Medicago truncatula: one gene and its partners. The protein of the gene in region 3 binds, or shares a complex with, the protein of the main gene of each other region. Links are inferred from orthologs where the notes say so. Each region holds a gene or a part of one and is shown on either strand. Other genes may lie near its edges. The genes, in order: kinetochore protein NUF2 homolog, kinetochore protein SPC24 homolog and kinetochore protein SPC25 homolog.

The links.
Region 1: kinetochore protein SPC25 homolog (region 3) and kinetochore protein NUF2 homolog share a complex: the UniProt entries of both Arabidopsis thaliana proteins name them as parts of the NDC80 complex. The link is inferred for Medicago truncatula from reciprocal best matches to the Arabidopsis thaliana genes AT3G48210 and AT1G61000.
Region 2: kinetochore protein SPC25 homolog (region 3) and kinetochore protein SPC24 homolog share a complex: the UniProt entries of both Arabidopsis thaliana proteins name them as parts of the NDC80 complex. The link is inferred for Medicago truncatula from reciprocal best matches to the Arabidopsis thaliana genes AT3G48210 and AT3G08880.

Annotation. Positions count from the first base shown.
Region 1 is NC_053049.1:40,975,517-40,986,985, forward strand, and holds the start of kinetochore protein NUF2 homolog, read left to right. Parts: upstream 1-6,142; 5' UTR 6,143-6,324; coding exon 6,325-6,494; intron 6,495-6,570; coding exon 6,571-6,795; intron 6,796-6,887; coding exon 6,888-6,981; intron 6,982-7,068; coding exon 7,069-7,248; intron 7,249-7,555; coding exon 7,556-7,645; intron 7,646-9,072; coding exon 9,073-9,180; intron 9,181-10,004; coding exon 10,005-10,058; intron 10,059-10,593; coding exon 10,594-10,708; intron 10,709-11,469. Other genes in the region: basic blue protein, read left to right, coding at 2,636-2,801, 4,979-5,181. UniProt on the Arabidopsis thaliana protein: Acts as a component of the essential kinetochore-associated NDC80 complex, which is required for chromosome segregation and spindle checkpoint activity to ensure proper cell division.
Region 2 is NC_053042.1:48,945,513-48,956,542, reverse strand, and holds kinetochore protein SPC24 homolog, read left to right. Parts: upstream 1-6,382; 5' UTR 6,383-6,516; coding exon 6,517-6,706; intron 6,707-9,240; coding exon 9,241-9,382; intron 9,383-9,478; coding exon 9,479-9,580; intron 9,581-10,125; coding exon 10,126-10,199; intron 10,200-10,320; coding exon 10,321-10,427; 3' UTR 10,428-10,672; downstream 10,673-11,030. UniProt on the Arabidopsis thaliana protein: Acts as a component of the essential kinetochore-associated NDC80 complex, which is required for chromosome segregation and spindle checkpoint activity to ensure proper cell division. Required for the maintenance of plant architecture.
Region 3 is NC_053045.1:51,668,363-51,679,125, reverse strand, and holds the start of kinetochore protein SPC25 homolog, read left to right. Parts: upstream 1-5,765; 5' UTR 5,766-5,851; coding exon 5,852-5,990; intron 5,991-6,071; coding exon 6,072-6,137; intron 6,138-6,231; coding exon 6,232-6,378; intron 6,379-7,797; coding exon 7,798-7,911; intron 7,912-7,996; coding exon 7,997-8,086; intron 8,087-8,170; coding exon 8,171-8,293; intron 8,294-8,727; coding exon 8,728-8,954; intron 8,955-10,249; coding exon 10,250-10,279; 3' UTR 10,280-10,282; coding exon of another isoform or gene 10,283-10,294; 3' UTR 10,295-10,763. Other genes in the region: uncharacterized protein, read left to right, coding at 1,547-1,745, 1,970-2,433. UniProt on the Arabidopsis thaliana protein: Acts as a component of the essential kinetochore-associated NDC80 complex, which is required for chromosome segregation and spindle checkpoint activity to ensure proper cell division.

The DNA of each region.
Region 1 (11,469 bases), on a different chromosome or scaffold from region 3:
AATGTTAAATAAAAAACGGTTTTTAATAATAATTAAAATTATTAAGCTTGTATTAAAAATTAGGAGGAATTTTGGGAACATATGCCAAGTAGGCTTTTGATGAGGTGGACATCCTTAGAGGAAAGGAATTTAAAATAGACTATTTCTAAAAACTCTAAATTGTTAGTATAAAGATATCTCTTAGGCATGGCAATAGGGCCGGGTGTGTACGAATTTCACCTTCCCTGTTCCCAATCTCAACTCTCGTATATTTATCCATTACCTTACTCATAGTCAATGAGATAAGAAATTGAATCTCATTCACGTTTTGAGAGGTTCGTGTTTCCATGTCATGTCCCTGTATTGAATGTTTTTTTTTTATATAAACAAAAGTTTTTTTCTAGCCCCAATGGTAGTGTTGTATACGTTATCCAGCAATATGCTTTACTTTTATAAATCGGATAACAATGACATATCAACCCTCTAAAAAAATGACATATCAACATATACCCAAAATATCAATTTTTTACGTGACAAATTTGGGTATGGGTTCGGGGTGGTTACCTATATCCTGCTACCCGTTCCATACATATGTCTTGAAATCGAGGAAAACTCAAATTCATACTCATACCTAATCAAAGCAAGAAATGGGTTTGGATGGTTAACTATGGACACGCGCGAGTTTTGCTCTCATGTCTAATATCTCTTATAAGCATCAAGTGGCTTACACTTATTGATCATAAAAATTCATAATTATTTAATTTTAAATAATCTTTGAAGTGTATTTAATTTTAAATATATACTTAAATTTATGCATAAAAATTATAACATACACCATCATTCTTCCCCTAAACCTTTTAACTTCATTGTCATATTTTTTATTTTAATTATTTTTTGAACAAGCCAAAATTGAATTATATAACCAAACAAAAAGTAGATTATAAGCACAAGGTGTGCCTAGAAAACTACTGCAGTACAATAGAGTAAGTCAGTAATGGAAGGTGGGCATACAAGTGTTTAGCCAATGCCCAAACAAGCAAAAGGGCTTGACCATCACGCGTGCCAAAAACAAACATTACATTTTTGGCTTTAAGCCACCCTAGAGACAACAATTTAACCTTGTCTAACAGACGGGGGACTACAGTTACAACATTATTGAACAACCGGTTGTATCGTTCGTTCCGTACAACCCAAGTACACAGAAGCCAAATTAGCTGCAGGAATGAACGTTTAACTTTACCAGGACCTGTCATCAATGTAAATTGCAACAAATGATCGGAAATATTATTAGAATCGACCCCCACAAAACCAATCCATTCACGCATATGCTGCCGTAACGATGCAAAAGTTGTGCAATTAAGAAATAAGTGTTCGGCTGTTTCAACGTGGCCACATCCTGAAACACAATAAGACGCTGATGTTGGTATAACCCCGCGAATTGCTAAATTATCTTTGGTTGGTAAATGATCATGAATGAGCCGCCAAAGAAACACCGACACCTTCAAAGGAACGAACCTGATGATGCCAAACCAACTTCAAATTAAAATATTGCTTACATTGGCAGCAAAATGCATTGCTTTCTTAAATATTGCTTGCATTAGCAAGAAAAAAAATATATTTTTTTTTAAGGAAAAACTTAGGTACAATTCCTTAAGTTATTATTATTATGGTTTTTAACTAAGTTCACTGTGATTTTAGCAAATCTATAATTTTTTTAGAGTTTGTTATATTAAAAAAAATATATTGTATTTTTAGTTAAGAACCATTTGAAAAAGCATATAAAGAATTGTATGTAAATTTTGTCATTTTTTTAAATGGAAAAAAAGCAAGATATTGATCAAAATTAGACAACGCATCTTCATCCATAAGATCGAGGTTCATCATCTACCTCATCATCATACTCAACTTCTCCTTCATGATTATTATCCTCGTATTTTATTTTGCTTATACCTTTTTAAATTTATGAAACCATTGTGAACGAGCAAAATGTCCAAAAACTCTTGTAGTAGAGTCACACTTGCTTGTTCATAAACCTAACTAAAACTCATTTAGACACGCATAAATAAATATGTGTTTAAATAATTTTTATGAGATTGTGATCATATAAGTATTTTTTTACAGAAAAAAATAGTAAAATGAGAAATACTATATAACAATATAAGTCCAGGTCAACCATGACATCACCATCTATTAATGTACTTTCTTGTAGGACATTTCAAAGAAAAATTATGCCATGGGAGGTTGACATATGCTGTTAGTTGAGTTCCATCTTAGGAAATGGGTTAGCACTCAGGCATACGTGCGAAGCTGGTGCCATGAAACCAAATTTAAAGTCAAATGTACTATCGACAATTTAGAACTGGTGGAGTTTAACTTGAACCACTATCATAATACTAGTATTATCATAAATTGATAGTACCTTAATTATCAATTACAACTTGTGCTAAAAATCATACATCTCAAGAATCATTACGGATTGAATATTTTGGGCAGACCCACGTCTATGGTATCTACTATCTAACCAACTTCCCATAAGATTTCTTGCAGACCTCTTCACTCATTCCTCAATTATAAAACCTTACCACATTATTCCAAATTTTCTTACATCCAAATCCCTTTCTTTCACAGCTTTCTAGCAAGTACTAGTAGAGAAAACATGGCTCTGGGAAGAGGCAGTGTGGTGGTTCTACTAGTCTGCTTTTTTGTTCTTAACTCTGAGCTTGTTCATGCTGCTACCTACAATGTTGGAGGTACTGTAGGTTGGACCTTTAACACGGTTGGGTGGTCTCGAGGAAAACGATTTAGGGCTGGTGACACACTTGGTATGTATCTTCCAATCACTAGAGAATTATTAAATTTTACTCTAATACAATCGTGACCATAAATCTATAATAATTATTTGTCAAACTTTACTTACATTTCAATCAAATTTAAAATGATCAAAGTCCCTTTCTCCTAAGAACTGAAAACGTACAAAAAAAAAATACAAAGATGCTATTTTGTCCTAATACTATTCGACATGAGGGCCATATTGGTGACCCCCCCCCCCCCAACACATCTCCTTGTTTTTTCTAGGGAAGTCTTTACTCTCTCTGCCTTGATTAAAAAAAGTCATATATATATATATATATATATATATATATATATATATATATATATGGGGTTTTCTAGGACACACCTACTAGTTTTTATTAAGGTGTGTTTTAGTAAAGATATAACTAAAAAGTTGTTAAATACACATCTTAAGGTGAATGTTGCTAAAACACACCTTCTAAAATATAAGTGGGTGTATGTTAGCAACTCCTATACGCATTTGCTAGGATACACCCACTTATTTTTTAGAAGGTGTGTTTTAGCAAGTTATAACTAAAAGGCTTAAATATGTAAAAGGTCCCTGTAATTTAGCGTGTTTTTGGTTTTAGTCCCTGTAAGTTTTTTTTCTTCTAAAACAACCCTTGTAATTTCGAAACCTTTTGGAAATCATCCTTGCCGTCAGATTCCGTTAACAAAAAAGCATTGGTGGATAACGGAGGTACACGTGGCAGTTTCTGGGTTGGCAAAAGTTGCTAACGAAATGTTCATAAGGACGAAAACCAAAAACGCAAATGTTCATAGGGATGAAATTGAAAAAAACGTAAATGTCAAAATTTCAAATTTAAAAACAATATATTCTTCTTCTTCTTCATCCTTATTTTTTCTCTTCTACATCTCCTTTTCCTGCCAATTTCTTTATCTCCCTAGAAAAAATTCACCCCCTCGTGGCAATGTCTTCTCGTTCCATTGCTAATACATCATCTCCAAAATCATAAGGATGTTCATCTCCAATTTAAATGAAAACCCTAAAAGGAGATATTGAAAATGTCCAACCTTTACGGTGAGTTCGTTGTTATAATACTATGTTTGTTGTATAATTTTAACAAAGTTTAATTTAATTAAAAGCTTAATATGTTTAATTTATTGTTTAGGCTGCCTCATTGGTGGGTAATTGAGTCTATGCAGAGGCAGTATCCCCAATGTTATGTGATTGAGTTTGTGTAGAGGTTTGTACGGAGGCAGTTGCCACATTGTTGTTTGACTGTCACATAGCAGAAAAGCTATGGAAAACACAATTCTATAATATAGTAATTAAACTTAATAATAAGATAATTTGTAATAAAGTTATATACATAAATAAAACTGCTTCAAAAGATGCAGAATCACTTAATTGTTTTAAGTATAGTAATTGGGTGTGTTTGTCAAAACTGAATTCACATTTGGTTGAGATTGAGTAGCCTCAAAAGCTGTTGCAAGGGAAGGGAGATTCACAATTGGAATGAGAAGACATTGCCACGAGGGGATGAGTTTTTTCTAGGGAGATAAAGAAATTGGAAGGGAAGGGAGATGAACAAGAGAAAAAAGAGGGATGATGAAGAAGATCATCTTGTTTTTAAATTTGAAATTTTGATATTTACATTTTTTCAATTTCGTCCCTATGAACATTTGCGTTTTTGGTTTTCGTCCCTATGAACATTTCGTCAGCAACTTTTGCCAACTCAGAAACTGCCACGTGTGTCTCTGTTACCCAACAATGCTTTTTTGTTGACGGAACCTGACGTCAGGGATGATTTCCAAAAGGTTTCGAAATTACAAGGGTTGTTTTAGAAAAAAAAAACTTACAGAGACTAAAAACAAAAACACGCTAAATTACAGGGACCTTTTACATATTTAAGCCTAACTAAAAAGTAGTTAAATACACCTTAAGATGTAGCTTGCTAAAACACTCCCACATAAAAACTAGTGGGTGTGTTTTAGCAAATCCATATATATATATGGCACTATCCATATTTCAATGCTTCCTCTTAATATTATGGTTAATAACATTATTCTTTTCTTTTATGTCAAGCATCTTAATATTATTCTAATAAAAAAAATATAACACAGAAGATATTTTTTTATACGACTCTTTTAATAATTATCCAATTTCTTGAGTGTAAATATAATTTTTCATATGTTTGTGCAGTGTTCAACTATAGGCAAGGGACTCACAATGTGGTGGCAGTAACCAAAGAAGTGTATGATAAGTGCAGTACTCCAAGAAGGGGATCTAAAGTGTATCGGTCAGGGAAGGATCGGGTCAGGCTTGCTAAGGGACAAAACTACTTCATGTGCAATTTTCCAGGTCACTGCGGTTCTGGTGTGAAAATTGCCATCAATGCTGCTTGATTTTTATACTAGAGTTTAAGTATCAATAATGTATTCAACTTTTATATGCGTGCCTTGCAAATTTCATACCAGTTGCTCTTTTCATATTAGTTGAATCATGCAGAAGCTGTTTCCTTAAATTAAGTATCAGTTTTTCCTACGGTTCTGTTTGTTTGAATCAAGGTGACTGATCTTGTCTCAAGAGAATAAGTTTGTTTGGGCCTTGTGATGTGTTGTTTTGGGTGGCTCCATGAAAGTAGTATTATGGGGAAGTAAGTTCTGTTTTGGTGATTAATTTTAATTTATTCAGAGTTTTTGTACTTTTGTTAGATAAATTACATTTGTTATGCTTTGCTTGTAATGTTACATCCTTACACGTTCATTTGGGTGCAATCATTATGATATCAATATCTGTCTTTTCATATAATAATAATAATAATAATAGTAATAATAATTTGGGTGTAGCTGTTATGATATTAATATATGAATATTAAGGGTAAAAAAAGAACGGATTAAGTCGGGTTTATGTGATCTGAATATGGTATTCACATTAGATCGAACCAATTTTTAAATTTAAATATGTCTACGAATTCGATCAAATTTGATGAGATTTGGGTTCAACAAGTACATGACAATACGAAAACATAATCGGGTTTGTCCGAAGATAAATTGCATGAGATTTGCGATGATATGAGAATGAGTTAGAGAAGTGACGATATGAGATTGGACTAGAGGAACGATGAGCGGTGACGTGTGAAATGAAGTCAATGTTAGAAATTCAAAATAGAAAATGAGTATTGTAGAAATAAAAAAGTTTTGTGTGAGAGACCTAGCTTGAGAGTGTGTAAAATAAAATTAAAAAAAATCTTTACATTATAGAATTATCCAGAATTTCATTTATTTATTTTTTGGTTCAATCTCAATTTGTACAATTGAACAAAAATCAATGAAGGAGCAATAAGTCTGTCTATTCACCAGTAATTTTGATTTTTGTATAGATTTGATCCGTACAGACGCGCACTGCTCGTGTATCACTCTACTAAATACTAAAAAACTTTGGGCGGGACTCAAAATTTTCAATTTTCAATTTTCAATTTTCAATTTTGAATCACACACACGGTCACTTTAACAATCTCTGCGTCTGAGTAGCGGTTGAAGAAGAACATGGCGATGTCGAACTACGAATACCCAAGGCTTCGCCGGCCAGAAATAGTTCAACTCCTAAACAACTTTCAAATTGCTACCGTTACAGAGAACGACATCTCCAACCCCAGAACCGGCGTCGTTTTGGATCTCTACACTCGCATCCTCAACTACCTCGATTTTCTCCACGAGTAACTATCCCTTTCCCTTCTCTTCAATCTTCGCTTCACGCGCTTCATTTTTATTCTCTTTTTGAATTTCTCACAGCGAAGACAACGGACAGCTTGATTTCGATGCACTAGAGCATCTCGAGAATCCCGACCTTCACGTTGGATCTATTCATGCTATCAAGCTTTACAACAAGATCAAGGAAATGCTTAACTTACTTGAATGTCCTAAGAAATACACATTTAACTTTGCCGATCTTCTCAAACCCGATCCTCATCGAACCGAGTTTTTCCTTGGAGCTCTTCTCAATTTCTGTCTCGACAGGTTCGTTCGTTACTCTCACTTCTTCAACCATTTCTGCTAAATCATCAAGGAAAAATAAAACATAACCTAATTGTTAAATTTTTTAAAATCAGGGATGGGAGATTGAATGCGATATCAGAAATCGTAGACGAATTCAACGCGTTGGAACAGAAGATAGTTGAGATTGAAGAGAATAATATTACACAGGTTTATAATATTGAATGATTTTTATTTTTATTTTTTTGTGTGTGTTGGTATTGGTGTTTTATTTGATAGATTTTCATTCTGTTATAGTTGAAATTGGCGATTGCTGAATGCAATGAAGCGAGGGAAAGGGAATTGCCTTCTGTTCAGGAGGTGGATGCAAAAGTTAAAGAGTTGCGTCAAACTATTGCGAACCTGAACAATAAACAGATGTCATTGAGAAGTACAATAAAGAAGTTGAAGGAGAAGACTGTGGAAATGGATGATAAGGTATGCTTTAACCGATAGTGAAAGTTTAGCATAATGAGTTGCATAGTCTTACTTCTTGATGTTGGGTTTTTTGAGTAGTATATGGAATACATTTCAGTAAAGGCATAGATGTTTATGTGAATAATTAATGGTGGATTAGGACATTTAACCCTGTCAGTTATGTAACTTGAACATATATTGCAGACTGCAGCTTAATCTGATCAGTTTATAATATATATTAATTCCTGTGTTGGTACTTGGTGATAAATTATTTTACTTGATGACAATTCTTACTTCTAACTCGATTTTCCTTTTGTTATTACCTCAGATTTCTGATGCTGAATATAAACTGGTACAAAATGTTCAAGAGCATGGAAATCTACTTTCAAAAATTGCTCAATCGCCTGATAAAGTACAGGTATCATTTTCATGTTGGCTATTAGTCTATTCTGTTCACAAAATCTAACTTATTACAATCTTAGCTTTGAAATGTAATGGACATTGCATTTTTCCACCCCATCTTCCTGTGTGAATATTGTAAATGTGTTTTATAGGACTGCCCTTACCTCTGTGTGGTTACCACAGTGGAAAACTCTCGCGACTCACAACCTTCTCTTGGGTAGTGACCGGTGCACATGCTAACATTAACTTAATACATATTTAGCCTGGTAAGCTTGCTGTAACATAACACCTGCGCTTAGCAAAACAAGGAGCTACTGACAATATCAGCAACAGAGAAAAAATCATCCAACATAATTTATGTCCTTCATATTCCATAATTTTATTGTATCAAAAAATTGTGACTACACAAGTAGCATCTCAAAATGCATAATTGTTTACACAACCCAACATAAAAGAATAACTCATAGTTGCATTACACCAAAGTCACAACATAATGGCTGCTTGATAGGTCTGTTATTGTTAGTTAAGTAGTTATTTAAGAGGTTAGTTAATTGGTTAATGGGTAGTTAGTAGCTGAGTTGAGACTTGAGAGGTAGTTAGGCCAAATAAGACATGCTGCCTATAAATAGAGAGGAGGATTAGAGATGGAATCATCTTGCCATTTGAGAGGAATAGGGCCTTTTAGCATAGGCAGGCAGACCCTCAATGTGCTGCCATTGTTTGTAATCAAAGGGATTCCCATTTTCAGTAATAACTAATAATATACCCGTATCTTCTATCAATTGGTATAAAGCTCTTTGTGGGCTCGGTGGGTGGACATCATGATGAATCTTCCACCGTGGTTCTGTTTTTAATGCTTCCTACCAAATTGTCATTGATTCATTTTGTGTGTGGGTGCTTCCGGTGGTAATTGCTGTAGGAGATTTGAGGTGAAATTGTAAGAAATTGGTAGTAGTAGGAAATAGGTAGGCAGACCCAAGGGAGAAGGACAGAGATATGGAAATGTAGAAATAGACTCTTTTATACGTTTTTCCAAAAACTATCTTCATTGGTTCATAGTTCATATGTTAAAAAATGGTATTTGACGTAAAACAGGTCACTGTTAGTGTTATTCTGGTATTTGACAGTGTTATTAGCATGTTTCATGAATTCAGCCTTTGGGTATTTGCTTGAAATAATTGCTCTTTTCCTTTAAATCAGTCTGTTGAAGATGTTTGTAAGTGTGATAATTTAATTGAAAAGAAAACAAATTGTAGGAACTAAATTGAAAGTAAGAGGAGACTAGAGGCACTAACATTTATTTTAACCATGAATTTATTATCACTGTTCGGGTGAACAAACACTGCATGCTTATTTTAAGATGTTCTTGCTGTGTAGAGTAATCTCTGATTTTATCTTTCTGCCTCTACCTATTTAAATTTGCTTCCCTTATCTTGCATGAAGAGAGCTCTAGAGGAAAAGAAATTAGCTCGAGAGGAGGCAAGAAATGCTGAAAGATTAGCCATGCACAATTTCCATGAGAAGACTGCCCTTGTTGAAGTTATTTCCAAGGTATGTTGTCATAGGACGGTATTCCCTCCATACAATACTATGGTGTTTTTAGAATCTTTATTTTGTATCAAAACCATGGGTGTTTTAAATATCCACAAGCTATGATTTGTCTGTATACCATGTTGAATTTTCCCTGGTAAAGAGCATTGAAGAATAAGCTGCAACATAATAGGGCTAGTGGGATCACTTAATCTGCTTTTTAGAATTTTCCTTACAGATGTTGTCGTTCAGTTTCAACATTATTCATATTTCTTTTTGGCAACAACATTATTCATATTGGTTAAACAAATCTATGCACTAACCTTGTAGCCATTTACTCATTCTAGAAAGGAAACTTAGGCTTTGTTTGGGAGTTTGGAGGGGAGGGGAGGGTTTTGGAAAAAAGGAAGGAGCAAGTGGAAGAAATAGAAGACATTGGGAGGAGAGGGCTTTGGAGGTTAATTTTTTACTCGTAATAAAAAATCCCCCTCATTTGGGGGAACTCAAAAATTGTATTGGGGGAGGGTTTTGGGGGGTTATGGAGGGTTTATATGAATTTTTCAAATCCAATCTATGTTGTCATAATATTCTTAAAATTAAAAGTATATTAATCATAAGTATTAGTTTATCATTCTCTGAAAAACCGTTCTTTCAAAAAATGTGATTTTTTTTTGTCCATTTTTCTATATATTTCCAACCTCCCAAAGCCCTCCCCTCCCTTCCCCTCCAAACTCCCAAACAAAGCCTTAAAAAAAGTAAACTGCATCTCATGGGTTTATGACTTCTATTCACAATGTAATGTTTTGTCCTAGATAATACAGATCACTTTATCCATTACTTGTCAGGTACACAAAAAAATGTCAAAGCACTACAAGCAGGTGCAGGTTACACAAGAGCAGGTATTCCTTGTCCTATGGCTATTTGACTCATGCTCTGTCATTTAGCATGACGATTGAAATTTTGTTATGAATTTGTCCCTGTATATGGAGGAAGGAAAAGCTTTTTCTTTTGTTATTTTGGATTTGAATGAAGCTCATGATGGTGGTGGTGTCTTGGAGATATGTTGTAAATAATGTATATTTGTAATTGTTAGTAATAATTGTATTTCACCATTAATCAGGCCCATTAGGTTTAGAAGAGTCTATTTAAACTAATTAATGGTTGTTCTCTATTAACAACTTTGAAATATATCAAATACATTTTCTACAAGACCGATATGAAACGTTCTATTATGATCTGCGGGCTTTTTCTTCCTTCAAAGATATTTAAACTAATTAATGGTTGTTCTCTATTAACAACTTTGAAATATATCAAATACATTTTCTACAAGACCGATATGAAACGTTCTATTATGATCTGCGGGCTTTTTCTTCCTTCAAAGATAGTTATTATTGTGCAAAACCTCTTGTTTGATTTCTTTAGCACTTCCTTTAGGTCAATTCTGCTAAAACTATTGAAAAGGATCTTAAAACATTAAAGGCAAAACTTGGTGACGAAGAAGTACTGGAGAAGTCACTTGAGGCCAAGTTGGTCGAAAAGCAAACTAAAGGTACGTTCTTGTGCAAGCAAGTAATGCTGGTGCCCCATTTCCAAATGGCCAGCATATCTGTGTAAGCATGAGTTATGATATTTTTTGTGATTGTTTTTTTAAAAACTGTTGACAAATTACCTGGCATTGTGGCATGTTTTTTTTATCAAACTATTATTATTATGATGATGACTCTTAGAAAGTGTGGTTGGGCCTAACACAACCCCACCAAACTGGCTTGTAATGTGAGAATTGCCCCCACTTTTGAACACATTGTCAGACCATCTCTTATCTGACGTGGGACTCTTTAACAATGACGATCATCATCATCTTGTCTTAGGGCCTGTATGGATTGAGCTTATGCAAATAAATAAGCTTTTATGCTAATTCATAAGATCTTACTAACGAAAATTGTATATTCACAAGTTGTTTTTTCATAAACTACCTTAACAAATTTATAAATAAATAATACATTAATACTTCTTTATTTGCATAAACTGCTTTGCATAAGCTCTAAAATAAGCCAATCCAAATGGGCCCTAAGTGAATCCATTGACCGACTGAAGTGGCACATATGCCACTACGCAATGTTATCTTTCAAAATTTAAAAGTTTTCAATTTCCAATGCAATGATTACACAAACTTTTATAAAAAGTTACTATTTAAAGTCCTTAGCTAGTGCCCCCGGGGCACTAGTTAACATTTCCCAAAAACTTTAATGCTGTATAGCATTGCTCTTTATACATGTATATTATATGTGTTTGTTGTGTTTTCCCTCATCA
Region 2 (11,030 bases), on a different chromosome or scaffold from region 3:
AGCTGTTTTGCATAAATAAGTTGTTTTGAATAAGCCGTTTTTGAAAATGAGGTCGTAATAAGCTGTTTTGTATAAATAAGTTGTTTTGAATAAGCTGTTTTTGAAAATGAGGTCGTACTAAGCTGTTTTATATAAATAAGTTGTTTTGAATAAGCTGTTTTTGAAAATGAGGTCGTAGTAAGCTGTTTTGTATAAATAAGTTGTTTTGAATAAGCGGTTTTTGAAAATGAGGTCGTAATAAACTGTTTTATATAAATAAGTTGTTTTGAATAAGTTGTTTTTAAAAAAGATTGTAATAATTTTAGTAATGTCTAAAATTGGAATTTTGAATTATTAAGAGGGCAAAATAATTGGACAAATGAAGCCCTTGAAATAATTTTAGTAATGTCTGAAATTGGAATTTTGAATAAGTTGTTTTTAAAAAAGATTGTAATAATTTTAGTAATGTCTAAAATTGGAATTTTGAATTATTAAGAGAGCAAAATCGTCAATTTGTATGTTTAACCCCCAAAACTCTCAATTTGGGGGAACTTTAAAATTGGACAACTGAAGCCCTTGAAACCCCCCAAAAAAAAAACCTTTCACTTGTTTTTTTAAAACTCGCAAACAAGATTTACCACTCCATAAGCCTTTCATTCCATTCCCATCCCCTCCAAAATCCAACTCGCAAACAAAGCCTTACAGGGATGGTTAGTGTAAGAGCCAATATTTCAAGCAATGAGGATCCGGTCAAGTTGCTAACGAATATGCAAAATGAATAGAAGGAATGAATTGATGATAAAAAAAAAAAAAAAAGATTAGTAATTGTTATGATTAAGAGTAGTTACTAACTGTTGTTTGAGATGTTTGTTGGGGTTGAAGGAAAAACCTCTTTATGCATGTGGTACCAAGGCATGAGCCCCCAACAATCATAGTATTAATATACTATTAAGGCATCGTGGTGAGGACAAAGCTCAATTCGTGGTGAGGACAAAGCTCCAGGGCATGAGCCCCCAACAAGTATGCTAGTGCATGGACTCAATCAATCTAAAACAATCTTAATCAACATCTCAATATGCATCCAATAATTTGGAGTTCAACAACATCTATTCATCTTATAATGACTCATGCAACTTAGTTAAATAACGACAGCAGCATAATCAGATCACAACAGCATTATAATTCCATAACAACAATTTCATTTTCAACAACTTCAAGGTTATTCAAGAATAAATCAAGCAATGCATTTAATCATTAAATCACATTACAAACAGCTTAACAATTCATAACAGCTTCACAGATCTCAGTTAACATCTTAAATAGGCCACATTACTACCTAAAGTTCCATTCCTAATCAATTCAATCAACTCAGGTCACGACAATCTCAAAAGCACTCAGTTCTGAAAGTGCTCGCGAGGCGAGAGCATCTGCTCGCCATGGCGAGTACAGGCCAGGTTTCCAACTACGGTTGTTCCAGGTTCAATCTTGTTCTAAATCATCCTCTAATCTTTAGTAGACATCTAAAGGTACTCAAAAGCATCTAAAGTTCAACTCAAAAGTCCAAAATACGAAAATCAACATGCTCTCTGGTCATGCTCGCTATGGCGAGTAAGGTTGCTCGCTGTGGCGAGCTACGACATGTAACTCGCGAGGCGAGGGGAAAAGGCTCGCGTGGCGAGCGATGAACTTCATCACCCGCGAGGCGAGGACCATCGTTCGCTAGGGCGAGCGATGAATGTTGGCTCGGGCAGAATGCAGTTTTCTTCAAAAATTCATCTAATCTCTTGGTTCTAAGCCCTATTTCAGTTCCAGAATTCATTCTAAGCATAATCTAAGGTCAAGGGACGTTTTCTACAACAATCTAACAGTTAAACATCATCGGATGATCAAATTCTCCTATTAACCCTAATTTCAAAACTTTTATAATTCAATCCTAACTTTGTTAATTGATCATCAGAATCATAAGAATCAATATTATTGAATCATTAGTCTCACCCTTACCTTGTTTTGCAGAAATCGCAACTTTCCCCTAGGTGATTCTCTCTTCTCTTGGCTTTTCCTCCTTTTCTCCAAAAACAGTCGTACGTACTAATTTTTCTAAGACTAGGTCTTTCCTTTTTATATCTCTTCCTAATATCTTATCTTATCTCACTTTCTCCTCAAAAACTCTCTAAAATCTCAAAACAGCCCTCAACTAAATATTTTATTTTATTTTCAAATCTTATTTTATTTAACAATAAAATAAGTCTCATAATCTCATCAAATCATCAAAACACATCCAAATCATCCAAATCATCTAAACCGTCATAAATCAACAAAATTCACACATATATTATATAAATATAATATAACTCGTTTAAACTCGATTAAATAATTAATTAAACAAAAGTGGACGTTACACTACCGAACTTCACATGAAAGTTCACAGAGACGTTTGCAGTCATTAATAATTGCACTAAAATCAGAAACACCATGCTTAATACCTCGTTAAACAACACAGCTTATATTCATTATTGAATGACAATTATTTAAAATCTTCTTGAGCAGGAGATATATATATTTTTCTTACATTTGTTTAATTTTCTTGGAGAAACTTGTTTTTTATACTCATAGAGAAACTTGTAATTGAAATTTGCAAGCATATATCTACATTATTAAAATGAGAGTTAAGAGTGTAAACGGTTCCGACAAAATTGATGAAATTGAAAAATCAAATCAAATTGATATGTTGAAAACCAAACTGAATTGATTCTAATTTGATCGGTTTGAACATTTTTTAAACTGAAATCCAAACCAGGAATCATTAGACTCCGATGAGAGTCCTATTGAGAGAGTTAAAGATCCTTTCTATTTAATAGATACTATCATTTCAAGAGAGATAAATCTATTGAATATAATCATATTATTCAATTAATATTGTTGTATTTGTCCATGTGAACTTGACTTAGTTGATATAAACATTACATTCTATATTTATAGGTCGAGTTCGAACATCAGACACAACATCTGTAACGCCCCAATTTTATTTAATTATTATTGGTTGATTTAAAGTCTTTTTATATATGATTTTATATAATTATGTTGATTATGTGGTGTGTCATATTTTATTAAATGAATTATTTTACTATTTAATAGAATAAGTGGGAATTTAGAATATTTGGAGTTCAAGGGGCTGATTTAGAAATAAGGAGAGTTGTGTGGGATTAAGTGGAAATAGAGGAAGTTGAATTAGGTTTAGAAAAGAAAAGGGAGAAGTTAGAAAGAGGAGAGAAACTGTTTTCACGTACATCAGTTTTGGGAGAAAACAAGAGAAAGCAAGAGAACCAAGGGAGAGCCAGGTGAAGAAAATCAGAATTGTAGAGCTTTGTTCATCTGAATTAAGGTAAGGGTGAGGCTAACTTGCAATGATTTTAGTTTATATAATTCTGATTCTGTTTGACAAAAGTTATGAATGAATTTGGAGGATTGAGAATTAGGGTTAAGGAGAGAATTGATGATTAAATGATGGAATTAGGGTGAATTGATGTAGAAATGATGAACAGACCTTAGATGTTTCATATATTGATGTTTAGAATCAGTTTTAAGGTTAGAACAATGGGTTTGGGTGAATTTTTGAGAAAAACTGTAATCTGCCCGTACTGTTATTCATCGCTCGCCTCCCGAGAGATGATCCTCGCCGTAGCGAGTGATGAAGATCATCGCTCGCCTCGCGAGCAGGAGTTGTTCGCCTCGCGAGTTGCATTTCGCAGCTCGCCATAGCGAGCAAGTTTACTCGCCGTAGCGAGTGTGACCAGAGAGCTTGCAAGATCTCGTGATTTTGAGCTGTGAGTTTAACCTTAGATGTTTATGAGGGCCTGAACATGTACCTTAATGATTAGGCAAAGTTTTAGATTGAGTTTGAACTCAGAATAGAGTCAGAATGGAATCTAGAGTGTTTTACCCTAACTCGCCGTGGCGAGTAGAGGCTCTCGCCTCGCGAGCTAGTGCTTGACAGATTGCTTTGTTTAGGATTTTCATGTGGCTTTGTCGCATGAGAGGTTGTGAGCTGAACTTTGAGATAGCAATGAAAGATGTATAGGATATAAATGATGAACTGTGAAGCTGGTTATGGCAAATTGAGGTTATTAATGTGATAAAATTGTATAAGTAATACTTGGTTTATGTGATAATGCTAGACATCGTTGGATTGTATAAAATATTATCATATCATGCTGACGTATACTGTTGTGTTGCTGTTGATTGATTATGATTGTTAATGATCGCTGGTTTATACTTAACTGCATTCAATTAGAATGTACAATGTGTTGGTTCGAGTTGTAAGTGGCGAGTTGTCGTTTCCAAGTAACGGAGTCATAGGTTGTTGATGTTGACCAAGTTGGGGAGTGAGTGAGTTATTATGCACGATCGTTGTCGTTGCCTATGTTGTTGCTGTCGTAGTTGAGTTGTATGCTGATATACACAAGTCGAGTCCTTTCATGATTAGGAAACCGTTGAGGGCTCATGCCCTGGAATGCTCGTCATTCAACCGTTGAGGGCTTATGCCCTGGAATGCCTTGCCATTCAAATTGTTGAGGGCTCATGCCCTGGAATGTTAATCATTCAACCGTTGAGGGCTTATGCCCTGGAATTGCCTTGTCATTCAATCTGTTGAGGGCTCATGCCCTGGAATGTTCATCATTCAAATTGTGGGGGGCTTATGCCCCGGAATGCTTAGTCATTCAATGTGTTGAAAATAGTACCACGCCGTTGTTGTCGTTGAAGTAGTGGATGATGTTGTCGTTGATGGTGATATTGTGGTTGTTGTAGGTTGTGTTGTGGTCGTTGTTGTTGATGGAGATATTGTTGTTGTGGTCGAGTTGTTGTTGTCGTTGTTGGTTGATTTAGTAAGAGTTATTAAAGTTGAAGAAGTATAAATATTATTGTGGGAATATATGTTGCTTATTACGTTATTTAATTAAGTTGATGATTTATATATCTATTATTATTGTTTGTGAATCTCACCCCTTCTGCTTGGAATTGTTGCCTTTCGTATGGGTAACTTGCAGGTATTGAAGCTTATTAGAAGTGGTGGCTCAAAGTGTCTAGGGCTCTGATACGTACGGGATGGGATTTTCTTATTGTTTTTCATTCCTATGTATCAATTTTGAATATTGCTGACGTAGCCCTATGGTTGTTGAATTTATGTTGATAAGGCTTTTATGCCAAAGATTTAATTATGGAGATTTAAACTGTTGCTGTTGTTGTTTTGATGCAAATTTTCCGCTGCAAATTTAATGATGACTTTGAAGGACGTTTATTAAATAGATTTTATATTCTACTTAAAAAATTTTGAAAATGAAGTGTGACATGCCCGTTTGGGAATTACTCTGATGCATGTTTTATTAATTAATTGATTTTTGGGAAACGGGGTGTTACAACATCCTATTTATTTATTTTAAAAAGGTGAATTTTAACTATTAGATTATTTGACAATAAAAATTATTGTATTCAATGGTCCATTTCTCTTCAATTAACGATGTTCTTTAAATGAAGAGGATTCCAACTCCTATCGAAAGGGGTTATATAACTTTTTTAAAAATCTAATCTTAATACTAACTATTTCCTCCATCTGATGAAGAGAGGAAAATAATTTTGAGTGTCTTGTCAAGTATTTATGCATTCTTCATTATCATAAATGCAAAGTAGAATATATTGAATTGAGATTGATGAAAATAATTTTAATTAAAGTTATAATTAAAAAATAATAATTAACATTGTATTAAAAAAAATAAAATGGATCAATTATTTTAGGCTAAATTGCATTTTTGGTCCCTTAACTATTTAGGTAGTATCACTTTGGTCCCTTAATTAAAATTCGATTTATTTTGGTCCCTTAACTCTCTCTGTTACACATTTTGGTCATTTACGTTAGTTTTAATTAAAAAACGTTAGAGTTTTTTCATTTTCTTCTCCTGTTTTTCATCTTCATATCATTTCCATCAACCTTCAACAACAAAAATCCAGGAAAAATTCCAAAAAAAAATGAAGAAACACTAACGTTTTTGAATTAAAAGTAACGGAAAAGACCAAAAGGTATAACAGAGAGAAAGTTAAAGGACCAAAATAAATCGAATCTTAATTAAAGGACCAAAGCAATACTACCTAAATAGTTAACTGACCAAAAATGCAATTTATACTTCTTTTTTTTTCAATCGTTGAGACCGAGGGAATATTCATTTAAGAGTAGTGATATTTGTACATCCAATAGATGACAACTTTGGTGACAATCTATCAAAAACAATGGAGAGAGACAAAGAAATAGAGAGAATAAAAATATACGTGACTATTAGAGAGAAAGTTATTTAAAAGTTGTCACAATGAGCGTAGAATGTCATTTCTCTTGGTTTAATCAAAAGAAAGTGTTTCCCTCCGACTCAAAGGAAAAAAAAAAAAAAAGAACCCCAATTTTGAAACCTTGTTTACTTTCATCAACTCCAATTTCGTTTCTTCTTCCAATTTCGAACGAAAGAAAAACCACCTTCTTCTTCTTCCACATAAATGGCTTCTGATTCTTCTAGAAACTTCGACGTGGATCAGCTTATTTCCATAAGCAACGACCTCATTGAGGTTTTGCAAGATCCCGCTAATGACCGTGATCTCAACATCATCTCTCAATGTCTCCACCACACACTCTCCGTTTCTTCCTCCTGCCACTCCGACCTCAATGAGGTTCTCTCCTCGTTCCAAGGTCAATTTACTCTTTTGCCTTTTTCTATCTCTTCCGTTTCTACCACAAAATAATTACGGGGTTTGGGTTGTTTTGTTAAAGTTTTCATTTTTATGATTTTTTTTTTATTGGGTTTTCGATTTTTGGTGTTGCCCATCATTATTTATTTGCTGTTTGTTCTTTTGGTGTTTTACTTTGCTAATTTTAAGTTTGGTATGAATATTAATAGTTGAAATTCACAAACAATGATAGTCAGAAAAAATTGGGATTTAGGTTTAAGTTTTCATGTTTCTTACACTTACTGTGGCTGTGATTATTTGCTATGTTATGTTTATTTGGCAATTGGGATTGTTATATGGAGAACTATTGGATTGGATCTCTTAGTACTAGTGTGTAATTTATTTATTTATTTGAGGTGTTGCATGTGCAATTAAGGTGTTTGTTAACAGTTTCAAAACTTGAAGAGTATAACTATGTAAAAATGGAGTGGAAGTTTGCAATATGGTTTTTCAATATTTGCATTCTCTTTCTCTATCATTGTCTTAGATGTGGTATCAGTTACATAGTTAAGTCATAATAATGGAAAATAAGAAATGCTGTTCGATTTGATACAAAGTTCACTTGTAATTCAACTGGAAGTAGTTTGTGTGAGTGTCTGGTATGACAATGGAACTGTTTCGTTCTAAAGCAATGCTTTAAAATACGGAAATAGCGGCACTATAGTTCTATAGCGCCGTACGTAGATTTTGATGATAAGTAGAAAAATTCATTGGGTCGTTAGTTGGGACAGAGTGTGTTGAGAGAGATATGGGGAGAGTGGGTTGGGTATACAGAATTTGAGAGGTTTTAATTTAGAACTTCTTGTAAAATGGGTGTGGAGACTCAAAGTGGAAAGACAACTTTTGTGCACAAAGGCGATAATGGCTAAATATGGAAGCCAAGATGGAGTGCGTGTGGTTGGTAATGAATCCAGTTGGTGGCGAGACAGCAAAGCGATGGAAAAGGGAATATGGGAATCTCAAAATAATTGCTGTTTGGATAGAATGAGAAAGTTAGTGAGAAGTGGCAGCTATACAATATTTTGGTTGGACAAATGGATAGTAGATGGCACCTTTCAAGATAGATGTTGGAGATTGTATAGCATAGCAAACAACAACGAGGCTAAGGTGAATGGAGTTTGTAATTTTGTCTAAGAAACACGGGAATGGAAATGCAGCTGGAAAAAGAGGTTGTTTCAAAGGGAAGAGAAATTGATTGACGATGTTGAGTGAGCAGGGGGTCAATGGCGATGTGGAAAAGCAGAAATAAAATGGTTTTTGGGAGAAAATCATTTGAGTTGGACGAGATGTTGGAATCGGTAAAGATCTCATTGTGGAATTGGTTGAAGGTCCAAATTCTAGGAATTGAGTAGCCAATATCTCAATAGTTCTCAGCCTTTAATATGTTTGGGGAGTCGTATATAACTATGATAAAGTTTATGAATGAGGTGGTATGGTTTAACAGGAGACGGTTGTATCGTGGGTCTGGAGGAATGGGATGCAGTGCTTTCAAAATACAAGTTTGATCTGGTGGCAGAAAGTAGATCATAGGAAGTGGGTGGCATTTAAGTGGATGAGATTAATTCACCATAATTAATAGATTGGAGGTGGTGGTGCACATCCAGCTGCACTGTTTATGCAGAAGTTTCTGGTCAGCACAACAGGACGCAGACCGTGGAAGCCTGTAGAATTCTACATGATGGGCTTGTCAATATGGAGAAGTGTTTGTGCTAATTGAGTGTGTGTTTTTTTTTTTGAAGTTATCTTGCAAGAATCAGATGGTTATTAGAGTTTACCTTGGCATTGTGTTCTGGTATGGTTTTATTATGAGGACTATGTTATTTTGTAGAAGGGTGGCAGTGTTCAGAACCCCCCCAGCTGTTGAGCTCTGCCTCCATTCCCTTTCTATATGTCCTGCTCCATCTCTAATGAGTTTTCAGTGATTCTCCTGTTAGTCTCCTACTATGATGATGCCCTTAATTGGAAAGTTGTATATAAGGATGGCCAAAACCAAAAATCAATAAGAACTAGAAGAAATTGATTTTGAGGATTCTAAAGTAGAAGTTGAAAGATGCGATTCACTATTTGACAACAAGAATGATGATTATATTGGAAAAGGGGACCAGAATGAATAGATCTTTTGTCTTTTATGTTCAATCATTATTTACTGCTTTGAGTAATCACTAGTCAGAATTATGAACAATTGAGCTTTTTGAGTTAATTTTGTCACTTTATACAGTTGATTTTTATCTGTATTCAGCTTATTTTTATTTGTATATAGCATGCTTTTTAGTTACATAATTGATTTATTCCAACCGATATGTGGCTTCCGCTATCCGGTATTCCACATAGCGGAATTTTTCTTTCTTGCTATTTTCCGTGATGCACTATTAATAGCCACCCATCTAAAGTAATTCCTTTTAGCTCAACTAGCTCATATCAATGCTATCTATTATGCGTAGATATTCTTGATTGTATAATTGTATTATGTGCTTGACCAATGCTTAGTTGAATCAGATTATCAGAAAAAAATAGATTCGCACAAACAGAAAATTGAGCATGCTAGATCCGAGACTGCTGCTGATGCGGATCTGGAGCTTTTGCAGAGAGAACTGGATGAAGAACTTGAAAAAGAAAGCCTGTTGAAAGAGGAGTTTAGATAAGTCTATTAGTTTTCTGCTTTTCAATTGTATGCTCTTTTTAGATTTTAATCTTCTTGAAATGATGTATCTTATCATCCATTTTGTATCAGCACAGTCATTAGCAACGAGTTTGATGATCTAGAACAACAACAAATTTCTGTCCGAGAGCAGAAAAAGAAATTACTGAAAATTGAGCAAGAAAAGCAGAGGACAAGGTATGTGCATTGCAAAACTTGAATTTAAGACCCTGTTTACTTTCTAAAAACATTTTCAGCTTTCATTTTCCAAAATTTATGTTCATTTTAAATTGCTAACAAAGAGATTGAAGACTCATGTAGCGAACAATTGTAATAGAGAGAAGATGGAAGACAAATCTATAAATAATATATTTCCGGAAACAATGAAAACAATGTTTTGGCTTTTTCAAAATTTCTGAAAAATGTCAGATCTGTTTACAGAAATTGTAGAAGAAAATGGTGAGGAAAATATTGGATATATATTCTCTTATGTTTATTGATTGAATTGAAAATGAAAACAAGAAACATGAGAAGTAACAGGCTCTAAGATTGTAATCTGGCCTCATATATGTATTGCTATTTGTTATTCATGTCCGCTTCGATATTATGGTCTCAATTACATGAATGTGGCTTCTCAATGTTAACAGTAAAGTCAATTAATTGTCCCAAACTGAAGACAGTTCTTGGTTTTTACATTTCCCATATAAATTGGAACTTATATTTATTATTATATTTTGTTTCAGGATGCTACTTTCGATGTATGCTTCTGTCACAAATATTGTTCCAAACTTGGACGATCAGTCAAAAATTTCAGGCTGTATCCTTTTGTTGAGTGTACCATTCTCTTTTCCCCATGTTTCTTCTTCAGGTTTTCTGTAAATGATTTTTTTGTCCTTTGAAAAGACAAGAATTGTTTGCTCCTTAAACTTAAATTGCAGATATTGTTGAAAAGGAAAAAAATGCGGCGGAGAAATTTGAATACGACACATCACAGCTGACTGTCCTTGATGTATGTAATGACATCTGGAAAACAATAAGTGATTAATGCATGTCAAACATGTCTCTGTTGGATCATGTTTGTAACATTATGTAATTTCTCAAATTGAGTGCTATGTTAGGAATCCAACAATTCACTTGATGACTGAAAAGTTCAATGTATCATGAAATGAAAGCCTTACAATTTTAATAGAGTTGCTGACCACTAAGTTTCATTGGTGAGTATTTTCATGTCATGTCATGAAGTAAATACTAGTTTGAATCTTCACATGGTTGGCCACTTGTTGTTATATAGTCTAATGTGCAGTATACTGAGCATATGAAACTGAAAGATAAACCGATAACGCATATCTAATTTATTTTGCTCATATTCTTGCTTCATCAAACAATGACCTTGGAAGAGATCTACATATTTGTACCGGAAGAATAATGTAAGTGTAGATAGCTTGTGTCAAAGGAAATGCTGAAATCAGTCCATGTGAATGATTTCTTTGTACCTTCTTAATATCCTCATCTGAGCAATTTTGCTATTCTGCCAATTTGGCTTCCTGTTGTTCTTCTTTCCTTTCTTCATCAAGGCAATAAAAAAGGAATGTAGTAGCAGCTCAGATTCGCCAACATTGTCCTCAGATACTATAATTATCTCCCGAAT
Region 3 (10,763 bases):
TTCTTCTTTTTTTACATGGAATCTAACCTTCTAAAGTGATCTTAATACATAATTAAAATAAATATTTATTAAGTTTATTTCTTATTTTAATTTAACTTTTTTTACCACTATTTTTTACTTTTTCTTTTGAAAATTAACCTCAAAACGAAACCCTTTATAAAAGCCATTCATTCTTTAATGGTTTTCCATCTCTTTTGTGTGTTTTATTAAGGTTTCGTCCTTGCTTTCAATTGCCTTGGTTATATGGAATGTTCTTCTCTTGCTTCAAGATTAGTGACATAGTATTAACCTTTTATTCTTTCGGCTGTAAAGTTTAAAGTGGGTTAGTAATATTAATTAAAAAAAATCACGAGACTAAAAGATTGATTGGGGCATATGAAATTGTTTATGCATGGCAAGCATTACATCTTTTCAAGACCAGCAGATTTGAGGGTTGATTGATTCTTACTTAAGCATGAGAACTAATGAAACTTCAAGCAATCGTTCATTCATTATTTAATTTGTTTTTAATAGTGTTTTAATTAAGTTCATTATAGAGACCCGGATATGACAAATTTACTTGCGAGGCTGAGTATGACAAACGCTAGATATATTATTTAATAAACGACTTCATGGGTCAAAAAGGTAAAGACATGGATGAAAGCATATGAAAATGTTTATACATGACCTACGCTACCAATTTTTAATTTGAAGGTTGATTCTTGCTTTAACATGAGAGCTAATGAAGCTTCAAGCAATTGTTCAGTCATTATATATTTGCAATTAATTAAGCCTTAAATTGTGTGCATAGGATATAACTCAGCTAGCAATTGTAATATTAGTTAAGTCACACATTTTCACTCAGATACCTCATAGTTTTGTGTGTGAGTTTTAAATAGTGTTTTCACTTCGACGTTGGAAAAAGAAGCCTAAACCGTTGTACAAACAAGGGGGCGGAGCTTGAAGTTTAAAATGATTGCTGAGTGCGAGTGTGCAATGGCAAACCCAAAGTTTCTTTTGTTGACCAATACCCAAAGTTTATGTCATGAAGAACCATAAGTTCCTTAAAAAAAGAAGTATTTGTAGCATGTATATGTTATGTTTTCTAATCATGCTACAGATTTTATTACTACTGTGAATTAACGGAGTGCAGTTGTGCTTAAGTGCACTGTAATATGTTTTTAACTTTAAAGAATCTCACTGAAAAACTCACACAAAGATAAGTACCGAGAAGTGTATAATTGTATGTACCACGACATATTAAATATCGATGTAGACCTTTTTTTTTTACCTTCTAAGCTATATTTACGAGACAAGTGAGCTTTAACAATCACACTTTGCACGTATTTGAAAAAAACAGTAGTATATAATTGTATGACAAAAGTATAATATGCCCCCAAATTATATCTCACAAGTATCTTCTACCTTACCGTTTCAATAGAGCAGTGTGGCAATTGGGGGCGTATATGAAAATATATAGACTATTATTTTTCTCATTATATGGCCTTCTCGCACGCCCTATGCAAATTACTAAAATGTCCTTCAGATTTTATAATCTGGAACATATATGCATATTCCGAAATATATATTATGGACAACTGCGAAGTATAAAAGGGACTTCACCCCCCAGTTTTACATTTTCACATTCACCATTCACTCTCTCTCTCTACATTATCCCAAAATCCGAACACCGCAAATCTTGTCCAAATTTGGAGTTTTGTTGCTCAAAAGCACCGCATTTCAACCCTTGTCAACCAGCATGGAAGGTAAGTTCGATTTCTGTACACTTGCATGGTTAATTTGGTAGTTTTTTTTTTGGAATTCTGGTCGGGTGCAATCCAGATTTCATTTTCCGGACAGGATTGTTGATGTCTGGAATTTGAAATCCGAACGAACCCATAATGTTTTTTTTTTTTTTTGCTTCTGTTATGTGCAGTTTGATTATGATGTTTGATTGTTATGATTGATTACCCTAATTTGAATGTTACAGAAGGTTCAACATCTAATACTCGGCGCGTAAGGGAGGCAGAGCATGCTTCCCGTAGGAGAGCGTGTAGCCAACGGCATGAAGGTGGTGTTCCTTCGAGGCGTCTGGGTGCTAGAGGACGTCATGCTGATGTAGAGCCTGGTGTCGAGCATCAGCCAGAGTGGCAAGAGTATATGGACTTGCAGCAAGAGCAGCCTGATGTGGGCTTGCAGCACATGGAGGATCAGGAACTTGAGGAGGAGTTGCATGCTATGGACGAGGAAATGGAAGATGTCGAGCCACGACAAAGGCGAAAGAAGAAGGAGAAGGTGGTGGACCCTGAGCCACTAAATGACTATCCTGGTGGCCCACACGAGACTGGCCTGCTCTGGATGGCTGAGATTCAGAGGCCGCATGGTGAGATATCTGCCGGAGAGGGTGCTTCGTCAGTTTGGGTGGGTTCAGACCATACCGGGACATCCCGTTGAGGGTGCAGTTGTTGATGTTAATTTGGCGGAGATCACAAACCGCTTTCTCCGTGCACTTGATTATGCGTTGACACCTAAGCAGTTGGTAGAGCCTGCAGTTCATGGTGTGGAGGCAGAAGATGGATATACCGATTGGTTTTATCGACATTCCCATCCACACATGATTCTTCCAAACATGTCGGTACCGGTGCCGAGGTCATTGGAGCGTGAGATCCTTGATGCGCGAGCTGCTCAGAAGGATGGAGACCTTGCCTACTTACAGCTTAGCGGAAGGATGAGCCGCATTAGAGACCACATCTATGTTGTGATGAGAAGTGGTCTGGTGCCGAAAAGGACTGAGGAATGGTAACATTTGGAGGACGCGTTGAAAGAGGTGAATGACGGGAAAGTTTACCGTCGTCGGGGAGCTACTGATGGTGGCAGGGGTGGTGGCAGAGGTGCTAGGGTGTAGTTATTAGGGATTGATTGTATTTTATTTACTTTTAATGTTTGAATATTTTGGATCACAATGTTATGTAACATTTGGATAATTATGTTTTATTAATGTTTGAAAATTATATTGTGTTGTTAATTTCGATTTTATAACTTGATTTTTTGGTCTGCATATGGTCAAAGGCCAACAACATTGACTAAATCTACTCTAAAACATAGGCTCAGCCAAAACAGATGACTTCTGCCTCTATACTGATGCAGTTTGGATTATATAATCCGGACAGATTTATAACATCCGGATTATATAATCCGGAACCATCGTTCACCACCCACTTTTGTTGACTTTCAACGGGGTGATTTACACTTTTCAGATTATATAATACGAAAATCATATAAATTGTTCGGATTATATAATCCGGATTCATCTATTCATTACTGACATCTTCATCCATCAGGGTGATTAAGTGCCAAAATCCACGAATAAATCCGGAATTAATATTCCGGAAGTAGTTCGGATTATATTTTTCGGACAAAGGGTATTTTGGAAGAAAAAAAATAGGGCGCGTGAGGAAAGGTATAGGGTGGGAAAAGTAATATTGCAGATGCCCAATTATCATAGCCCTTTGTGCGTTTCGACGGGCCTTGCTTTCACATATATTAGGAAGATTGCTCTAGGGGACTCTCAAATTGCTCACGCCCCCTAAAAAACTTCAAAATACCTCCCTTGGATTCTAACTCCCGAACATATTGGACCCGAACTCCCATTCGCTACATTTTGGGAGCTACGTTTGATCCAACTCTATCAGTTATGGATCAATAGTTACAAGGTTTAGTCCTCTTGAGGTTAGCTCAGTTGATAGGGACAATACATAATATATGCAAGGTCATAGGTGACCACCACAAAATAAAAATAGGTATAAGGTTTGAAACTGACCCCTGTAGATGAGACGTTAGAATTCAATTGTTCAATTTTATGTTTTTTTGTAGGATCACTTTTTACAAATTGATTGGATGTTAGGATCTGATCCACTCCTGCGTCAGACTAAAACAATTTTTTACACCGAACCACAACATTTTAGAACATTAAATCACCAAAAATATTTTTTTGCACATCAAACATAAATTTAGATCAAACGTATAAAAAACACAAGTTAAATAATAGTTGATAAAAGATAAAATAATGGGCCATATATAAAACCCAACATGAATGAACATACATACTGATCGATCCTTCTTTAAGAATCGACTGATGAGTCAATAATTAGTAGTTTTAATATAATATTTGATTCTGTTTTATTTAGATTTTAAGTTTATTTATTTAAATATTATTTCCTTTTAGAACTATTTTACTTCAATTGCATATTGTTATATTTCATGAACGAATATTTGATAGATTGAGTCTTGGAGCAAAAGAAAGAGGATTAGAAGCTGATTCAGGGTGCTCTTTTGCTGCTTTTGCTTCGGAAACAAGCTACCTATTTTGATCTAAAAGCCCGTGGTTTCTTGTGGAACATTCTAGTGAATAGTTGCTTAGGTTTTAAGTCGACATAAGGCTATAACTAGAGTAGCTAGCTATCACAACAATTCATCTTTTGTTATCTGAAATAATAAGTGACAATTGTTTCTTTGAATAAAAGTTCACCTTTATTTTATGTTCTTCTTCTTCTTCTTCTTTTCTATGTCTACAATGAACGTGAGTGAGTAGACTCTTCTTGTCTTGGGATTGTTGGGTAAGTCTAAATGACATAACCCTAATCAAACCAAGCATTGAGCCCTAATTTTATATAAATCTACTTTCTAATCTAAATTCACCGTTTTAACATGTATTAACAATTACCAAACTGTAGAAGCGAAAGTGGAGGGTTAGTAATTGTTAATTTATCATCTCAAATATTAATTCATAAAGCAAAAGTGGAGTTTTGATATTGGAACAAATGAATTTAGACAAGGATTGCGAAACATGAAAATAGTCTAGCAAACCTTGAGACATATAAAGTTTCGAACTTCAATGATTCTAATAGCAACCAACCATGAAAATATGCGTGGTTGCTAGAGGACCACACTCACAAAGTTTGCTTGTGAAGGGTTTCAAGGGTTCAAAGAGAAACTTGTCTTTAGAAAGTAAATCCAATATAAAATTATGGTTTAGGGTTTGTTTGTGAAGGACTTGTTATTTAGATGAACCAATAATCACAATGCGCTTTTATTTTTATTATTTTATTTTAATTAAAAATCCAAACTTGCAAACTAAAACTCTTTTCTAATCATTGTTGAAAGTTAAGTAAATTCATAACTCCCTATCAAAACGATACTTTTTATTACTACATCGATAAACCGTGCACTTACAGTTTTATCCCATCATCGACCAATAATGACTTACAGTATCATAGTCATTTTTATCCGTGAGAGTTGTATGAACTAGTAATAGACACGATATGCAACTCAGGACACAATGTGATTCTCACTGACTAAACGAAATAGGCCTCAAATTAGACTCTTTTATAGAAAAACAAAATTACAACAAGTCGTGTAATTATGATGAACTAGATATTATAATAGTCATTATTTAAAGGGTTAATTAAGTTTTTAGTCCCTGTAAAATAAAATCACACTTTTTAGTCCCTGTGACATTTTCCTTAAGCATTTTAGGGACTAAAAATGCTAATGGAAAATTTTTATAGGGACTAAAAATGCTTATGAAAAATTTTATAAGGACTAAAAATGTTGATGGAAAATTTTATAAGGATTAAAAAATGTGATTTTATTTTATGGGGATTAAAAACAAAATTCTAAATATTTATAGGGACTAAAAACTTAATTAATCCTTATTTAAATGAATTGGAGATGTAATTTATGTTTTTGAATGACCAAAGTACACTTTCATTTACATAGTTTAACTGAGAAACTGGCCCACCACAACAACGTTCGAGCTTTTTTTTCTAACTCATGAAATTCAAAAACACTGGATACGAGTGAGTCCAGAAAGATGGAGTGTTCAACTTCTTCAACCCATCGCGACTCAGAAATCACTCAACAAATCCACACCATCGACGCCTTTGCCGCTTCCGTCTCCAAATCCTTCCAATCCATTAAAACCACCGGACAACAAACCGCGAAAACTCAAGGTCTTTAGGGTTTCATCTTTCAATTTTCACTTTCACTCTTTTCCTCATATTAGGGTTTTCATTTTTACTTTTCCTTCTCAGTTCAATTAGAAGAGGTTAAAGACAAATTGAAGGAAGTGGAAGATGAATTGGTTAAAGTACTCGCAGGTTGGTTTGTATAAGTATTAGGGTTTTCAATTTTAAGCTTATTTGTTTTAAGTAAGGGAAAATTTGTGAACTTTTTTTGTTTTTGTTTTTTCAGAAAAGACGCGTAAAGAGGCTAAGCGAATGGCTTTGTTAGATGCTATTGCTTCTGCTAAGGCTAGAGTTGGAAATCTCAACTCAAGTATTCAAGAGGTTCGAACGAGGAAACAAGAATATATCTCGTTTCTATCGCAGCAATCACTCGGTAATTAACCTCTTTTTCCTGCAAATGCTGCAATTTGTAGCTATTTAAGTATTTTATGTTTTTACAGATTCAAACCCTGTTTGGTGAAGGAATTTAACATTGACTTAGTGCCCGTTTGGATTGGCTTATTTTTGAGCTTATGAAAAACAACTTATACAAATAAATAAGCTTTTATGTCTTATTCATAAGCTTGTCAATGTAGTTTATGAAAAAACAGCTCTTATGAAGATACAATTTTCATTAGTGGGAACTTTGAGAAAATACAATTTTCACTAGTGGGAACTTATGAATTAACATAAAAACTTATTTATTTGCATAAGCTATTTTTAATGAGATAAAAAATAAGCTAATCCATGGTTGTCGACATCATGATTGGACATGGTTGTAACTTGTTCCCTATTCAAGTCTACATTTTTATTTGTTTATAGGACATATATTTGATGTTTGCTCAATCTATTTGATATTGTGCACACAATGTATGTTAAACATAAAGTAGCCAAATGCCATCTTGCATAAGTATCGAGATTACATGTACTATGAGGTTGTCATGTCTAGACGCTAACATTTTTTTTTAGTAGCTACTTCAACATGTAAATCTTTGTTTTTCTTCTGGAAGCATAGAACTAGTAAGACATGGATTATCATGCAACCTGTAAAATCATTTTTGAAGATTTTAAGTTCGCCTGTTATAAAATAAGATTTGAAGGATGTTTTTCTAACAATGGGTTTGTCATAACTCATACGTTCTTCATTAATTGCTTTTACAGAACATGTATTTATAAGTTTGAACTGTCGTGGTCGTAGTTCTTAAGCTTGTAACTATGTTGTGGTCGTTTTGGGGTTTCTGTTTGCTGGGTGGTTATTGGTTTACTACATCTCTGGTGCCGGGTCTTGAACCAAGTTTCTTGAGGTTGAAGAGAGAATCTCAACCAAGTGACTTCTCGGGAGACAGGCATTGGTTTACTACATCTGTTTAAGCACCGTCAGTCTTTTTAAATTTTTTAGGGTTTTTTTTAAAGTTGTAATGAAGTAATGGGATATCGTTGGTCCCTTTTGTGTATCAAAGTGGTAGAATTAATGAATTTGGGCTTCAAAAAAGCTTGTCTTGTACAAAATCGGGAGATTTTATGTTTGACCGATATCATGATGCCCACTTCCATTATTTTTGAATGTATGAACTGTTTACAAATACTGAACACATTTTCTCAAGAAAAAAAGTATGAATGTTAGCTGTTGCACAGATGTTATGCATTCTAAGTTTTGATTGAGGAACTATGTTTTTGCGTTTCTTCTCTATTATATATTCTATTTGATTTGTTCTACTTACTAAACTTGAAATTACTTCGTTAAAAGAAATGTTATGTACTTTTATAAGATATCCTCTCACCTCCCTCGTCTTCTCTTTTAATCCATATGAAGCTTTGGCAGCATCTGAAGGGAGGTTGAATGAAGGCATTGAACATACAGACGAAACACATGAGGCCATCTCTTGGTATAACAGGGTACTTGGTTTTCATGTCAAAGGGGGACGTGGTAATTGACAATTAACTTTTTTTGCATAAGGTTTCTTTTTATTCTTCTTCACAAAGTTGATATCCTTATTAGTTATGCTCTTCAGGGGTAAAGTTCACGTTCAAGAATATAAATTTGAAGAATCCAAATGAGGAGTACTCTTTTACTGTCTTCCATGATAAAAATACTTATACATGTAAGCAGCCTGCATTTATGATTTTATACAATATTCAGTGTATATACACTTCATGAAACCTACACCATCTCTTTTATCTTTCAGTGTTACGTTGTGAACCTTCCTTCGATGGTATTGAAGAGCTGGTCCATGAATTAAACAAGACAGATGGTCTGTTTAAGTTTGTCAGAGTAATGAGGAAAAAATTTCAAGAAGCATTGGTACAAGGTATCAATGTTTGTTTCTATCTTTTAAATGAGTGCATGCATGTGATGTGGGAGCTCTGCATATTGGAGACTGAAAAGACCGCTTGAATTGTAAAATGATAATAATTCCAAATATGCAGAGCTCCAATACGAAGTGATTCTATTAATAATAATAGTAATTCCAAATACTTCATATTATAATGATGTTTATTCATTATTTGAAGAAAATTTATTGAATGAATGTTTTACCAGTTCATATGTCTTATTGAACTGTTCAAACATGGTTCTAGTTGATTTGATATTCTTCTCATTAGCTTATTATTATATGAATATAAGTATAATTGTTCTTAATATATTTTCTTCACATGTCTAATTAAATAGTATCTTCGCTTGTTGGAAATTGGATGAAAGGGTTGCTTGTAATGAATGTAACTTTATCTAATTGCTATTAAACAGGGAGCTTAGTTCTAACAACAGTCAATCCTGGAGAATCTGCCTTTATATCTTCATCCGCTCCTGGCACATCTGTTAGAAGTGATTCTACAACCATGGAAAATGAGCATGAAGTGGAACGCTCTGGCAGTAGTGCACAATTAAAGAAAAAACAAGTTCGCAGAAGGAAAAGTTTGGCACGTTTATCTCCTGATTCTGCTTCATCTGTTCGCCAGTCTCCACGTTTGAAGGTATGAATTACTATATGTTGTATTTCTTGAATTTTTTTGTTTAACCACCCAGGTAGACGTTTATGATCACCACTCTGGAATGTTGATACTTTTCAGTTGCAGTGTTGTCTATTGTACTTTGACAAGCACTGTTTTTTGAAGAAGGTGTGTTTTAGGAAGAATAGAATAAATTGGTAAATGGGGCAGGGAAGTTATAACCAAATAGAAAACTTAATAATGTATTAACTGTAGTTAGCTGAAGCATATAATGTATATTAGAGAATAAAGAAGGGTTATGGAATTCCCTAGCTTGTATTCTTGTTGTCAGCAATTGATACAGTCAGCTGCTATCTGATTCTGGCATGTCATTTGGACTTGCTAATGCACCTTTTACCTTCCAAGAGTTGATGGGCGAATTGTGAAGGCTGTAATAGAGGGCCAAAAGAACACGTTGAGCACCTGAAGGTTTTTCGATTGTTCCAATGTAATATCTGGGGGTAAAGATGTAAACTTGCTGAAGAAGCTGTAGTGTCTTTGGCCAAATTGCGTCACAAAAAGGGGTTGCTGTAGGCAGACCTGTAAAAGCTGAATCAATAAATTAGTGGCCTGCCCCAAATACGTGAAGGTCATAAAAAGGTTTTGGGGGTTGATAGGATACTACAGAAAATTTCTGAAGAACTACGGGTTAGTTGCCAAATCGCTTACTGAATTGCTTGAGATAACCTCTAATGATCTAAACAAATGGAACATGTTGTCCAAGCATTAAAGCTATAACTTAACTGTCTGTCCTAGGCTCTTTGTAGTCCCAGATTTGGTCATGGCTTTTATTGTTGAAACTGATGTTTCGAGAAATGCTTGGGAGCTGTGCTGCTGCAATAGGGACATCCTCTAGCTTTCCTTAGCTAACAACTATCAGGGAGGAAATCAGTTTATGATAGAGAGCTAATGACTATAGTGCAGGACTGCTCACTGTGTCAGCAGTCAGTGTGTAAATGGAGGCATTATCTAATGGGGAGGCACCTTTATTATCCGAAATAATGCTCTTTTGAATTTTGTATTTATTGATGTTGGATTAAAATAATTTTGAGTGGCGAAAAATAAAAATGCTAAAAGAACGGTAACTAGGCTCTGACCTACTCAGCTGCACTTAACCTGGGGTTCCTTTTCTAGGTTTTATGACTCATTCTCGAGTCCTGGCCTCCTGGGGTGCTTTAGGCGTGCAGGGTTATTATTGCACGTGTTCTTTCATCAATAAATTTGTAAATAGTTATGATGGCATGTTTTCTACGTGATTTATTTATATGATTCTTGCACAGAACTCGGCTAAACTGATGTATCATATGTGACAGACTAGGAGATAAAATACAAAGGATGTTTGCCACCTCATTTGATGCTACGTGCTGAGCTCCCGAGGTTCTCTTGCAGGCATAACTCATTACTCAGGTTGCTAAGTGTTTGCTAACAAATTCACACATTCCAGACATATCTATGTTCTGGTTGCTAAGCTATTTTTGAAACTATGATGTCAATGTAGTTCTGGTTGTGTGTTATGTCTTGTTTTATTTGTATAGTTCTTTTAATTTTTCCCAAAATCATGTAACCGTCAGTCATTAGGGTGTTGATATAGTTTATTGACAATGTATTTGAAATGGTTTTCCATGATTTTTTATTATTTGTTTCCCTCCTCTTGTGTCCAAAAATTTCACCTTTGGATGAATCTTATGATAGGGAAAAACTACGGTTTTGTCTGGTTCCACCCATTTGAAGGAGGAAAACATGTTTTTAATATTGTGCTAAACTGCTATGTGAAATCTGAAGAAACAAAATAAT